Nothobranchius furzeri: one gene and its partners. The protein of the gene in region 3 purifies or fractionates together with the protein of the main gene of each other region. This does not show direct contact. Links are inferred from orthologs where the notes say so. Each region holds a gene or a part of one and is shown on either strand. Other genes may lie near its edges. The genes, in order: cul2, BTB/POZ domain-containing protein 2 and cops3.

What was found.
Region 1: the proteins of cops3 (region 3) and cul2 purify together in Homo sapiens (affinity purification with mass spectrometry; 5 studies listed by BioGRID and IntAct, counting the BioPlex papers as one, with this or other methods). This does not show direct contact. The link is inferred for Nothobranchius furzeri from reciprocal best matches to the Homo sapiens genes COPS3 and CUL2.
Region 2: the proteins of cops3 (region 3) and BTB/POZ domain-containing protein 2 purify together in Homo sapiens (affinity purification with mass spectrometry; 3 studies listed by BioGRID and IntAct, counting the BioPlex papers as one, with this or other methods). This does not show direct contact. The link is inferred for Nothobranchius furzeri from reciprocal best matches to the Homo sapiens genes COPS3 and BTBD2.

Annotation. Positions count from the first base shown.
Region 1 is NC_091747.1:38,641,220-38,644,819, forward strand, and holds the start of cul2 (cullin-2), read right to left. Parts: upstream 2,554-3,600; 5' UTR 2,421-2,553; intron 1,471-2,420; 5' UTR 1,451-1,470; coding exon 1,332-1,450; intron 1,195-1,331; coding exon 1,092-1,194; intron 1,011-1,091; coding exon 916-1,010; intron 1-915.
Region 2 is NC_091751.1:57,998,825-58,002,656, forward strand, and holds the start of BTB/POZ domain-containing protein 2, read right to left. Parts: upstream 2,652-3,832; 5' UTR 2,649-2,651; coding exon 2,074-2,648; intron 2,001-2,073; coding exon 1,881-2,000; intron 1,808-1,880; coding exon 1,651-1,807; intron 1,539-1,650; coding exon 1,433-1,538; intron 1,352-1,432; coding exon 1,154-1,351; intron 1,057-1,153; coding exon 864-1,056; intron 538-863; coding exon 450-537; intron 361-449; coding exon 214-360; intron 139-213; coding exon 1-138.
Region 3 is NC_091756.1:24,217,684-24,221,415, forward strand, and holds part of cops3 (COP9 signalosome complex subunit 3), read right to left. Parts: coding exon 3,727-3,732; intron 2,842-3,726; coding exon 2,662-2,841; intron 2,568-2,661; coding exon 2,427-2,567; intron 1-2,426. UniProt on the Homo sapiens protein: Component of the COP9 signalosome complex (CSN), a complex involved in various cellular and developmental processes.

The DNA of each region.
Region 1 (3,600 bases), on a different chromosome or scaffold from region 3:
CTCCTCACTGTCCCTAAGACGCGTTTGAGGACTCGCGGGGAAAGGGCTTTTTTGTATCTGTGCCCCAAAATTTTGGAATTCACTACCCCTTCCGGTTAGACGAGCACCCTCGCTTCCCATCTTTAAATCGAGGCTGAAAATGCATTACTTCTCCATGGCCTTCGATTCTTAGCATCAACAGTTTGTCATACCTCCTTCTACTGTGGTTTTTCCCATCTTAAATCTGTGGTCTGACTACTTTTAATCATTTTTTGTTTTTATTGTTTTTGTTTGAAACGGTTCTTCGTTGTATTTTTTTTTTATTAATTTTATGACTCGACTATTTTATCCTTTTATTGTTTTATTTTGTACAACGCTTTGGTTGATTGTAATGCCATATTGAAAGCGCTTTTATAAATAAAATGGTGTGGTGTTGGTTCCACCACTATGTATGTTACGTTATTTAACAAAAATTAATGTGGTTGACAAATATAACTTTTGAGGTCAAATACAGTATGGATAATTTACATGCAGCAAAAATTTTAAGACCCAGTTGTCAAAATTCAAGACTTAAGGTGTGATTTCCAAATTCCTAAATTCAATGCTTTTAAGACTTTTAAAGACCCCGCGGGAACCCTGAGAACAGAATCAATCTGCTCTCCCTGACAGAGGTCAACACCCGTGTCAAGTCACAACTTCCCGTAAAAATGTGCTGGAAAATGATGGTGCAGATTCAAAGTCATCAGATCAGGGGCATTTGTTTACATCCGGAACTAGGAAGCTTCAGTTTGTTCTCCAACTGTATAATGCTTCTGCTCAGATAGAACAGTGTAGTGAAGGCTACTCTTTAGTAACATTATAAATAAATCTAATAATAAATAATAAATGAACCTCATGACTCTCTCATATCAATGAGATCAAAAGCCTGGGTGTTACCTGTACAAGCAGTCCATGTAGTCGGCTCCTTTACTGTACTCCTCCCAGTACATGTGGTACATAACTAAAACCTTCTCCTCCGATTCCAGAACTTTCTAAAAAACATAAACAGGTAGAGCAGCTGTTATAGACTGCTAAGTTCAACAGGAATGCAAGAATTGTATTTTAACGCTCACCTTGTACAGCTGCCTAACGTGGTTCTCAAGAAAAATTTTGGTCTCTGTGTATAACTTCTCCCCTAAAGGCTCAGGGTACGCAACACACAAGGCATAAATGTCACTAATGTTACAGTCAAGGGTTAGAACGAAGAGTTTGCACTAATACAAACATAAACACAGTGTAGTAAAGTACTTTACCGTACATGTTTACAATCCAAAATATAGACACATTAAATGGCTTCTCTGAAACTAGGATACGAGAATCGATCGTTCCACGTGGCTCGTTCCACGTAGTCGAGCATCACGACAGCCTTGATTGTAGTCAGTAACTTGTTCCATGTCTCATCGAAATCCACCACCCGTGGCTTTAAAGACATTGTAGATTTCCTCTTTTATCCTACAGAAGAATAAAAATAGTGAATACGTTGTTACGGGTGAATATTTAATATTTTGAAGAATCTGTATTTTATCATGTTTTTTCTGGTAATACCATTTCTTTCACCAATCTAATAATGTAATACGTCCTTATTAAACAGAATACAAGTGATGAAATCAAAAGGAAAGCGTTGAATAGTGACATCAATGAAGAAAACCAATGAATGTTTTTAAATGGATATCTTTGCTCCACTAATGACATCAATGACGTTGCAATAAACTATACACCTCTAAACCAGTGGCATAAAAACAGCATTAGATATAGCTGCTCACATATAGCTGCTTGTGATAGTAAGATTAGATACACAATGTACAAAGACAACGTTCATTGGGACAAAACACACCGGACACACGGTCTGGTGTGTCCGCGTTGCGATCATAACTGACAATAACTGACATGAACTTTCATTTTGCTTTCACTGAAGTCATTTATTAAATCAAGTAAAGAAACGTAGGCCCTGTGTTCTTGTGTCAGTTGAATAAACGTCACACAATATCACTGAAACACTTTGACAGTTTTAGTCGTTGCAGCCGGTTTCATTCATACACGTACGCGTCTCTCCTGAAGGAAGGATCGGTGCTAAACACACCTCTTTACAGTCCCGATAAACGAAGCTAAGTAAAGGTGACTGGCTAGCGGCATGCCAATCCCAAAATAGGATTCAATGCTAAAAGGCTAACTAGCTTCATGCTAGCATGCTAAGCTACTTCTTCCCGTTTGAATAGCATACAATCTGATGGAAACAGTTAGCGTTCCGTGTGATAGCAGCTAGCTAATGGCAGCTCAGCTATCGCTAGCAAGTCATCTCAGTAGTTTCTCCACAATCACACTGACACCTCCACAAAACATGGCACTGCTGTCAAACAAACCAAATCACCCGAGTTAAGCAGGGACTCTTACATACTACATACCTCTGTGTAATATGTAGTTGTTAAAAACCCAGTTAGTATTCTCCGCTGTCACGGGTTTGATTTGTTTTACAGGTCTTCCCTAGTATTCTTCTTCTTCTATGGTTTTAATGACAGATTAAAATGCCAGTTTCTGAATGCTGCCACCTACCGTATCGGAACGTGCAAGGGTACATTTGAATAAATAAATAAATATTTTCAGTTTGCATTTGATTTTTTTGTTTTAACAAGTTTGAAGAAAATAGTGTCAAATATTAATCAAACAATTTGCCCTTTCTTGTCTATTCCATTGCTGTCTATGTCAATTTTTTTCTCGAAAGACATTGTTTCATTTGTAAAAGAGTTCACCACTAATTGGCAACTTTGACACTAAAATATTGGAATGCATTCCAGTCAGCAACATTATCTCACATTAAAAGTCAAGCAGATGATGATTCTCCAATCACACAAACATGTTACTTCTTCCTTTGGTAGATTTGTTTCATATTTCATGCAAGTTGTGATTTTAACTGGTGAGGTGTCCGGGTGTGTGCTGCACCCACCTCACATCTACTGAAGGATGCAGGTAGGTATCAGTTCCTAGCAACCATGGAAACAAGCAAAGACAGAAAATGAATAGATGGGAGTTTCGCTGTCATCGGTGATTTACCTTTGGGAATGACTGTTCTAGATGCGTCACATAATTGCGTGGACAACATCCATCCATCCATTCATCCATCCATAAACTGAACCACTTCTTCCTTAGTAGGGTCACAGGAAGCTGGTGCCTAATTCCAACTAAACAGTAATAGTTAAAATTAGCGTGGGACATGTTGGAAGGCCATTGCAACTTACAGTTGTGGTCAGAAGTTTACATACACTTGTAAAAAATATAATATAATGGCTCTACTGAGTGTCCCGTTATTTCTAAAACTCTGATTTTTCTCTTACCGAGGAACTGTGCTGCTCTGGGTGGCTGCATGTTGGAGTAGCTCTGTTGACTATATGTAAGTTTTGCCTTTTCTTGGACAGTTTTTCTTCTAGTTTCTCAAGAAAAACTGTATTTTTTGGACACTTTACTTTTCTGTTTCTGGTGCTGTGAAGCTTGGAGGATTTTTACTGCTATTTTTTAGCTTTCTTTACTTTTTGAGCATTTGTTATGATGCGTAACCATGGCAAAAAGCTGGCTTACAATCAGGAGCAG
Region 2 (3,832 bases), on a different chromosome or scaffold from region 3:
AATCTGTCCGTCCTCTACTGAAGTGCCGTTGTTGTTGCCTGCTGCGTAGCAGAATGTGAAACAGGTCTTTGTGCCAGTGGATGATGACTCATGCGTTACCTTCCGCATCCCTTTGGTCCCATAATGAGAATCTGGACCCTGTGACGCACAGAAAAAAAAAGGATGAACACACACATTCTGGCTCCCTTTAATTAGCTCTCAGGAGTCACACACCTTAAGTGTAGCACAGGCGGTGTAGTTGACGTTAGGTAGAATCTCCACTGGTTCCTTGAACATGACCCTGAAGGTGTTTGCCGAACCGTCGCAGCTGAAGCCCGTGTCGTTCTGCCCCAGCACCGTGTTACTGTCTGTGTGAATTATCTACAACACGTGCAAATGTCACAAACACGATGAAAACACTCCAAATGATCAGAAACAACTTAATACTGGAGCAGTGCTTGGAGTGGTACCTGTATGTTGACTTGGTAGTCTGTAGGTCCGTGTATGGAGCCGTAGAGGCCAAAGCCAACCACAAATATCCGTCTGTTAACAGAGAACCTGTGAAGAAAATTATCAGGAAAGTGTGACAGATGGAATTTAGTATTCAGAACTAGTCGTCTATAATAATCAACTCTTAGATAAAATTCAGTAACAACTAATAAATATCTTATTAAATCATTTGATGTATGTGGTACACTGTTTGAGCTAAAAACACATACAAGTTAAATGTATTGGTAACACAGATAACCCCTGGCCCTTTGTCCCAACCTTAAGATCAATAGTTAACAATATCGGGAATGTAAATGAAGGATTACTTAGTTTATTAATACTTTATAATGCATTAAGTAGTATTAGTAAAAGAGACTAAACTTCGGGATTCTTACCGTATGCGGTCACTCGTTCCGCTGTAGCCCCAGCGACTCTCCACCTGCCCAAATCGGGTGATGCTGCACTCCTTCCCTCGGAGGCAGCAGCGAGGACGGTCGATGAAATCCACACGAGGTTTTGGGTTCACTGTGAAGTGGAGGAAGAGGCTCACCACCTCTCTGTCCGTCAGAATACTGGACTGGGCCGGACCTGAAGGATAGGACCCAAAGACGAAGATTAAATTCAGAATCACAGCATCTATGCATGTCTAAAACAGAGGAAAAACACGTAGCTTGTTCATCCTTACCTGCAGCAAACTCCTCAATGGTCATGAGAGGGAAGCGGATCAGAGTGAGAGCTTTTCCCAGGGCTTTACGCATGTTCTCGGGCGTCGGCTGCAGCTGCTGCCTGCGGGCCTCAGCCTCAGCCCAACGGACAGCCGCTCCAAACAAACGCACCTCTCTGACTCCGAGAGTGTCCCTCTCCAGCACCGCCACCAGCGTATCTAAACAGAAGCAAACAAATCATATTAAAAGTGTAATTCCACAATGTAGAAATGGCATGAATATGTACAGAGGCACTTTACCTAAATCGATGTCCGTGAATCCCTCGGCGGCGAGAGCATCTCCGGTGTTCTTGTCGATGTTTTCCAAACAGAGGCTGGCTAGCTGAGGCTCATCGAACAAACGCGCCTGGAACAGAAATCACAACCTTGCTTTTACTCACAAATTATAAAAATAATAGAACACTCAAACATGAATTGAATAAATAATGATGAAGGAAACTGAGTTGATGGGAGCTGACCTGTGTGAGCAGCATGAAAGCATTGTCTGCTCTCAGGTTCTTCTTAAGGAAATCCACACAGTGAGCCTCCAGGGCTGGAACTGCATACTTCTTAGCTGTATAGAGGGTGGTCATCACAGTCTCAGGCCCAATCTGGACTTCATCAGAGTACAAGAACCTGCAGGAAACCACACAAACTAGGGTTGGTTTGTGGGAATGTAAACTGTTACGCTGGACTGTCTGGTTCTTACTTCAGCAGGGCCAGAAAGGCAGCTGGCTCCACATCTGGAAGCTCAATTTCCGTGGAGGTGGTGGCCATCCCTCCGTTGAACATGGCATCAAACACTGCGCTCCCCACAGCCAGAACAAACCTAAAACAAAGAGAGAGGGGGCTGTCAGATCTTTGTTTAAACGTCAGAGCAGGCTCATGTTGGAGGTAATTACCTGTGAGCTGGTATTCTCTGAACACCCATCCCTTTGCCAACCAAGAAATGAACGTCACTGAGCACCTCGTTGTTAAAGAGAAACGCAAACCTCTCCTTTACGGTGCTCTTTGTTGCCTGCCAGTTGTACACCGGCTCTCGGTAGACCAGCACAGACGCAGCAGCCGGAGTGGAGGTGGGCGCTGTCGCCGGGTTGGCGTTTGACGCAGCGGTGGTCATCATGTTGGACGCCGGGGAGGCCATTGCTCCGGCTGCCGCAGCACCTGCCGCAGCCGCAGCGGGCGACTGCAAAGGGTTCTGCGCAGTCGGCGGAGCTCCGCTCGACACACCGCTGCTGTCTCCCCCGGCAGGCCCCAGCTGCGGGTTGGACCGCCTCGCTGCTCCCTGTGCACCTCCAGCTGCACCGCCTGCTCCTCCGTTGAATGCTGGCATTGAGAAAACGCTGTTGCTGGGCTGGCTGTTTCCCAAAGGACCCGGGCCGGAGAAACTGAGGCAAGGAGGCCTGCCGCTGTTGTCTCCAGCGGACATCTTCAACCTGGCGTAGGCGTCAACAACAAACTTCATCGCTTTCTTCATTTCATGTAGTCTAAAGGGTCACGTCTGCCTTTTGTTTCCCTCTAGCGGCCACGGTGGGTACTACAATCTGCTGTCCTCAATGGGTTAAACTAAAAAACTTATAATTCACTTTTTTCTTTTCTTAAACAACATTAAAAAGTTAAAACATCAGACCAAAAAAATTTTAGGCTGAATTTTAATAAAGCACATATGGAAAAAAAACATCTGATATTTCCCCTTTGAGAATATTCAGCCTCCTTATCAAAATAAAACTTTTAAAAAAATGAACCTCTATTTTGTAGCTAACTGCTAATGGCTCCAATTGTAGCTGGTTGATTTGATCTTGTTGAACACAGATTATTAAAGTAGAGTTGTTGATTTTTAGTAGTTAAGTAGGTTGTAGTGAGGACTTTCTGGCATTATTTAGACCAGTGGTTGTCAATCCTGGTCCTGGAGCACCTGTATCCAGCACGTTTTAGTTGTTTCTCTGCAACAACACTTGATTCAGCGGTTGAATCCCCTGTGCAGCAGCTTATGAAGCTCTGCAGAAGCCTGTTAATTAACTGCTGATTGAAATCAGGTGTATGGGAAAAATGTTAACACTAAAATATGCTGGATACTGGTCCTCCAGGACCAGGATTGGGTACCACTGATTCAGACTTAATTATGCTGTTAACACTAATTTCAAACCTGCAGTCATTTTAAGTGGTATAGTTTATTTTGAAGGAATCCACAGGAAACGCTCTTGAGTTTTCTCGTGATTAGCAATATGAACATTGCCTGTAGAGACAGTTTTGCTCCAGCAGATAGCAGGAAAAATCTTTAATCTCGAAAGCTAGAGGATTGAGTTTATGTTTATGTTTTTACACATAGTACAGTTGTTAACCTATAGGGCATGTTAATGAGTTATTGTGTTTCCATCGAACTGACCTAAATAAAACAAATACATCCCTTATAGACAGAGTGGGCATCAGTCAAACCAAATTTCAGATTGCAAGTAATTACGTTAAAAGTTTATTAGTTAAAGGCATACTATGCAACTTAATATTTTTAAATCATTTTCTTGAGCCAATATGTACTAAAATGACCCTACGGGGTTAATGAAATGTCACCCTCTGTGACCAAAATACCACACATGCAACTTTAGAGTGCCAGTCCGGTCCGGTTGGACTTACTAAAGTGGAGTTGACACACCTGACGTTGCA
Region 3 (3,732 bases):
ACGCGCGCACACACACACACACACACACACACACACAGTGGACTGTATATTCACCAACGTTCTGCGTTCCTTCTGGTGGTGTTTGAAAACGGCGTTTATTTGAGGAATTATATCACTTAATGCAGGGTGACCACATTTCCATTTCCGAAAAAGAGGACCGGGGATGGTGCCTACCGATGACATCACACTATGGCAACGCCATCCATGATCTGCGGTGTTAGGTCTGCAAGGCAGCCGAGTGGACGAAACATCACCATGGCAACGCTTCTGGCTTCGGAGACAACCACATTTCTTTTAATTATATAGATTGTAAGAAAACTATATACAGATTCACATTTGAGCCTAAATCTCATATGCACCAGCTGGGATTTGAACCATAAGTAGGGAGTCTTACTGGTGGAGCTATCCATTTGACATTTGAACATTGACAAGACTCCTCAGAGGCTGAGGGGGCAGACAGGAGTGGAGGTTGTGCTCCACCCAGTGGGTTGTGATGTCACAAATCTGCTAATTAATTATACCAAGGTGGAGCAGGTCACCAAATTCAAACTGTTGGGTGTTAGAGTAGACGACTTATTATCCTGGTTGGATCACGTTGACCACAGAGTCAGTACGATGGGCCGAGGAATCTTTGTGAAGAAAGTGCTCTGCATGTTGTTCTACCGCTGTACTGAAACATGTTGTTCAAAGTCTTGATTGATCTCATTTACAGTACCGTACAGTCGTTTGGTCCAGAAACAAACTGCTAATGGCTCAGAACAGAGCAGGCAGAGTCGTTTTGAACGGTCCTCTTCGAACCAATGTGCACCAGATGCATTTTGAGTTGTCATGGTTAACTGTGGAGGCTATAGTCTTCTGATGTTTGTGCAAAAAGTTATGACTAATAATATTCATCATCATATGAAAGACGAAATATTACTTAGTGGATATGGCCATGAGCACATAACACTCAAGCAATAACATGGTGATAGTGTCAAGACCTAGAAGTCATTTCATGAGGAAAGCCGTTCTCTATAGAGGGACTGTTGAGTGGAATACGCCACCAGGTTTCGTTAGGGAAATCCAAAATCAAGCTCTTTTAAGAAAAACATTAAAAAAAAAGGCTTAAGGCACTTTCTGTTATTGTTTTGTTCTCGTAGCTGTGATGGAACGAGAAGAAAGGTATTTTCAGATGGCTCTGCAAGTTAAGGGGGATCTTTTCGATGGCACTGGTTGGCCACTACAGCTTTTAAAATCCTAATGTAATCATTTATAATGTTTTAATCATTTGAATTGTTAAATGTATTTTGTATTTTGAAAATGGACCCCAGGAAGATTAGCAACCACTGCTGTGGAAGCTAATGGGGATCCAAACAGCACAATAACCCTCCAACCCTCAATGCCTCCCCCTATCCACACGGAGGTGACATGCGCTGCTTATCGTGGCTGCAGGAACTGAAGTGGGGATAGTCCCAACCCACCACCCCACCTAGTGGACACTTATGTTGTGTTGTCTGAAGTCTGTTGCATATCTGTCTGAGGTGTTTTTTTGCAGAGCAACGCTGCCCTCCCGGTGGAGGGTAACTCTGAAGTGCCTTTTTTCCCTCCACCTGAACCAATCCTCATGTTACCCTCTTGTCTCTATTAAGGTAGCGCGACTCGGGTTGCGAATGACCACAGTCACCAATTCTTGTCACGTGTCTTGCCCATGTATGTCTGATCTCTGAATTGTGTGTACTGAAACTCTAATTTCCCTCTGGGATTAATAAAGTATATTTGATGGATTTGATTTGATAAACAAACAAACCCAGACAGTTTTAGGCCACATGTTTTCATCTGCTACGGATTCACAGCATTTTTAACGCAGAAAGGCAATCTTGAGCTTAAGCTTCTTTAGATGTGTCATGTAGCATAAGACCACGTCTCAAGAACATGTTAAAAACAGAAAAAAACACAATTATTTTCATTGGAGTGGGTCTTTGAAAAAGAAAAGCAGGTACGTGTAGCTGCACAGCACGCTAGAACCAAAGTATTTTCTTTGTCTTACCAAAGGGTCAGGGCACATTTAAAGCCCTGTGAGATTCTAACTCCAGAGCCACAAAAGTTCAGAAAAACACCCGACTGCTCCAGTTCAAGGAACAAACTAATGCAGATGGAGCCGAGCACTGATGTATTCTAGTTTAAGATGCAGGACCTGGTAGAAATAAACAGGATGTTGTAGAACTTTCAGTAAATTTAACATTTTTATGGTGGAAGACATGAAGTCAAATAGACACATCTGAAGGAGAAAACTTGTTTTTTGAATAAATAATTAAACTTTGATATTTAAAAGCACAAAAACAAGCATAAGGACAGTAAAGATGGTCCCAGTTGGCCAATCAGATGCATACAGCATTCATATCACTGTGGGTAGAAGACAGATAAGGGTAACAGCTGATGGGTGGTACCTTGATGAACCTCGCTACGATCTGTGAGGTGTATTTGGGCAGCTGCTGCACTTTGCCATGGAGGATGAGCGACACCAGGATGTATTTCTTATAAGCTTCCAACATGATGTGGCTCACTGCCATGGCTGGAGTGGTTATTGCCTGTCAGTGAAAGTGCAGAGGAGAGAACACAGCTCCAGGTGACAGATTCTGAAAAGGCTGCTAAATCGAGCTCAGACACTAAAGAAAAAGGTACCTGTTCATAAAAATACAGTGCTCTTTCAAAGTTTTTCAGGCCCGTGTAGATCATGCCACCATAGTAGTAGTAACATAAAAAGTGCTTTGCGTCATACGCGCCATTCTCCTTGCAGATGTCCATCATGTCCACCTCCAAGAAGGGCAGGGCGGGTTTGAAACACTTCGCTAACAAGCACAGCTGCAGGAGAGAGAGAGCAGAGTCGCTGAGGGGTGAGACGGGGGTCAGCTCTGCAGACTTAGACCAACAGGCGGCAGCGTCGAGGTGTTTAGTGATTAAAATGGTTACTCTTTTGCTCCCATATAAACCATAAAAACGACCATCGTCTGGTGAGCTTAGGATAACATAACAAAGTACTTCTGTCACATACAGTCTAAAGCACACCAACTGTCCAGCGTCGTGAAAACATGGCTGCTATGGAAGCCCGGAGGTCCAAATGTGATTTTTCAGGAGTGGTGATGTTTACAGCATCATCACCAGGCACCGACCCACAGAACAGCTAGGTCTGGATTAAAATAGAGATGTATTTTCTGACTTGTGTTACACACCACCAGTGTGTTTTGGCTTCATTCTGCCATCTTTACCAACGCTGACTTCTAAAGGCTAAATTCGAACATGCTCAAAGAGTAAAATATGAATGTTTTAAATAATAACACCATCTTTGTGATTGTAGCTGAAATCAAAATACAAAATATGTGAATAATTATCAGCAGCAGCATGATGTAGAAGCTCTGGGGCATCCAGAGTTCGAGTTCAATAGAAATGTCTTCAAATTTCTACAAAAACAAACATTAGATGCGAGACTGTTGGTGGTGTAAAGGCATTTAGAACAGTGTCTCATAAGCAGCACTGACATTTAGACAAGTGGAGCCATTTTCAGATGTGTCTTGGCTGTGCCCTAGCCTAGCTGTTAGCTCATCAGTCCTAAAGGACACAAGCTCTGTTTCTCCAAACTGAAGCCATGAGACAATACGTCATTTTGATGCAGAAACACACTTCAAAATGGCAAAAATCCCTTCAACAACACGTCCCATAGTGACACATTTGTAGCAGAGCGAGTCTCACCTGACA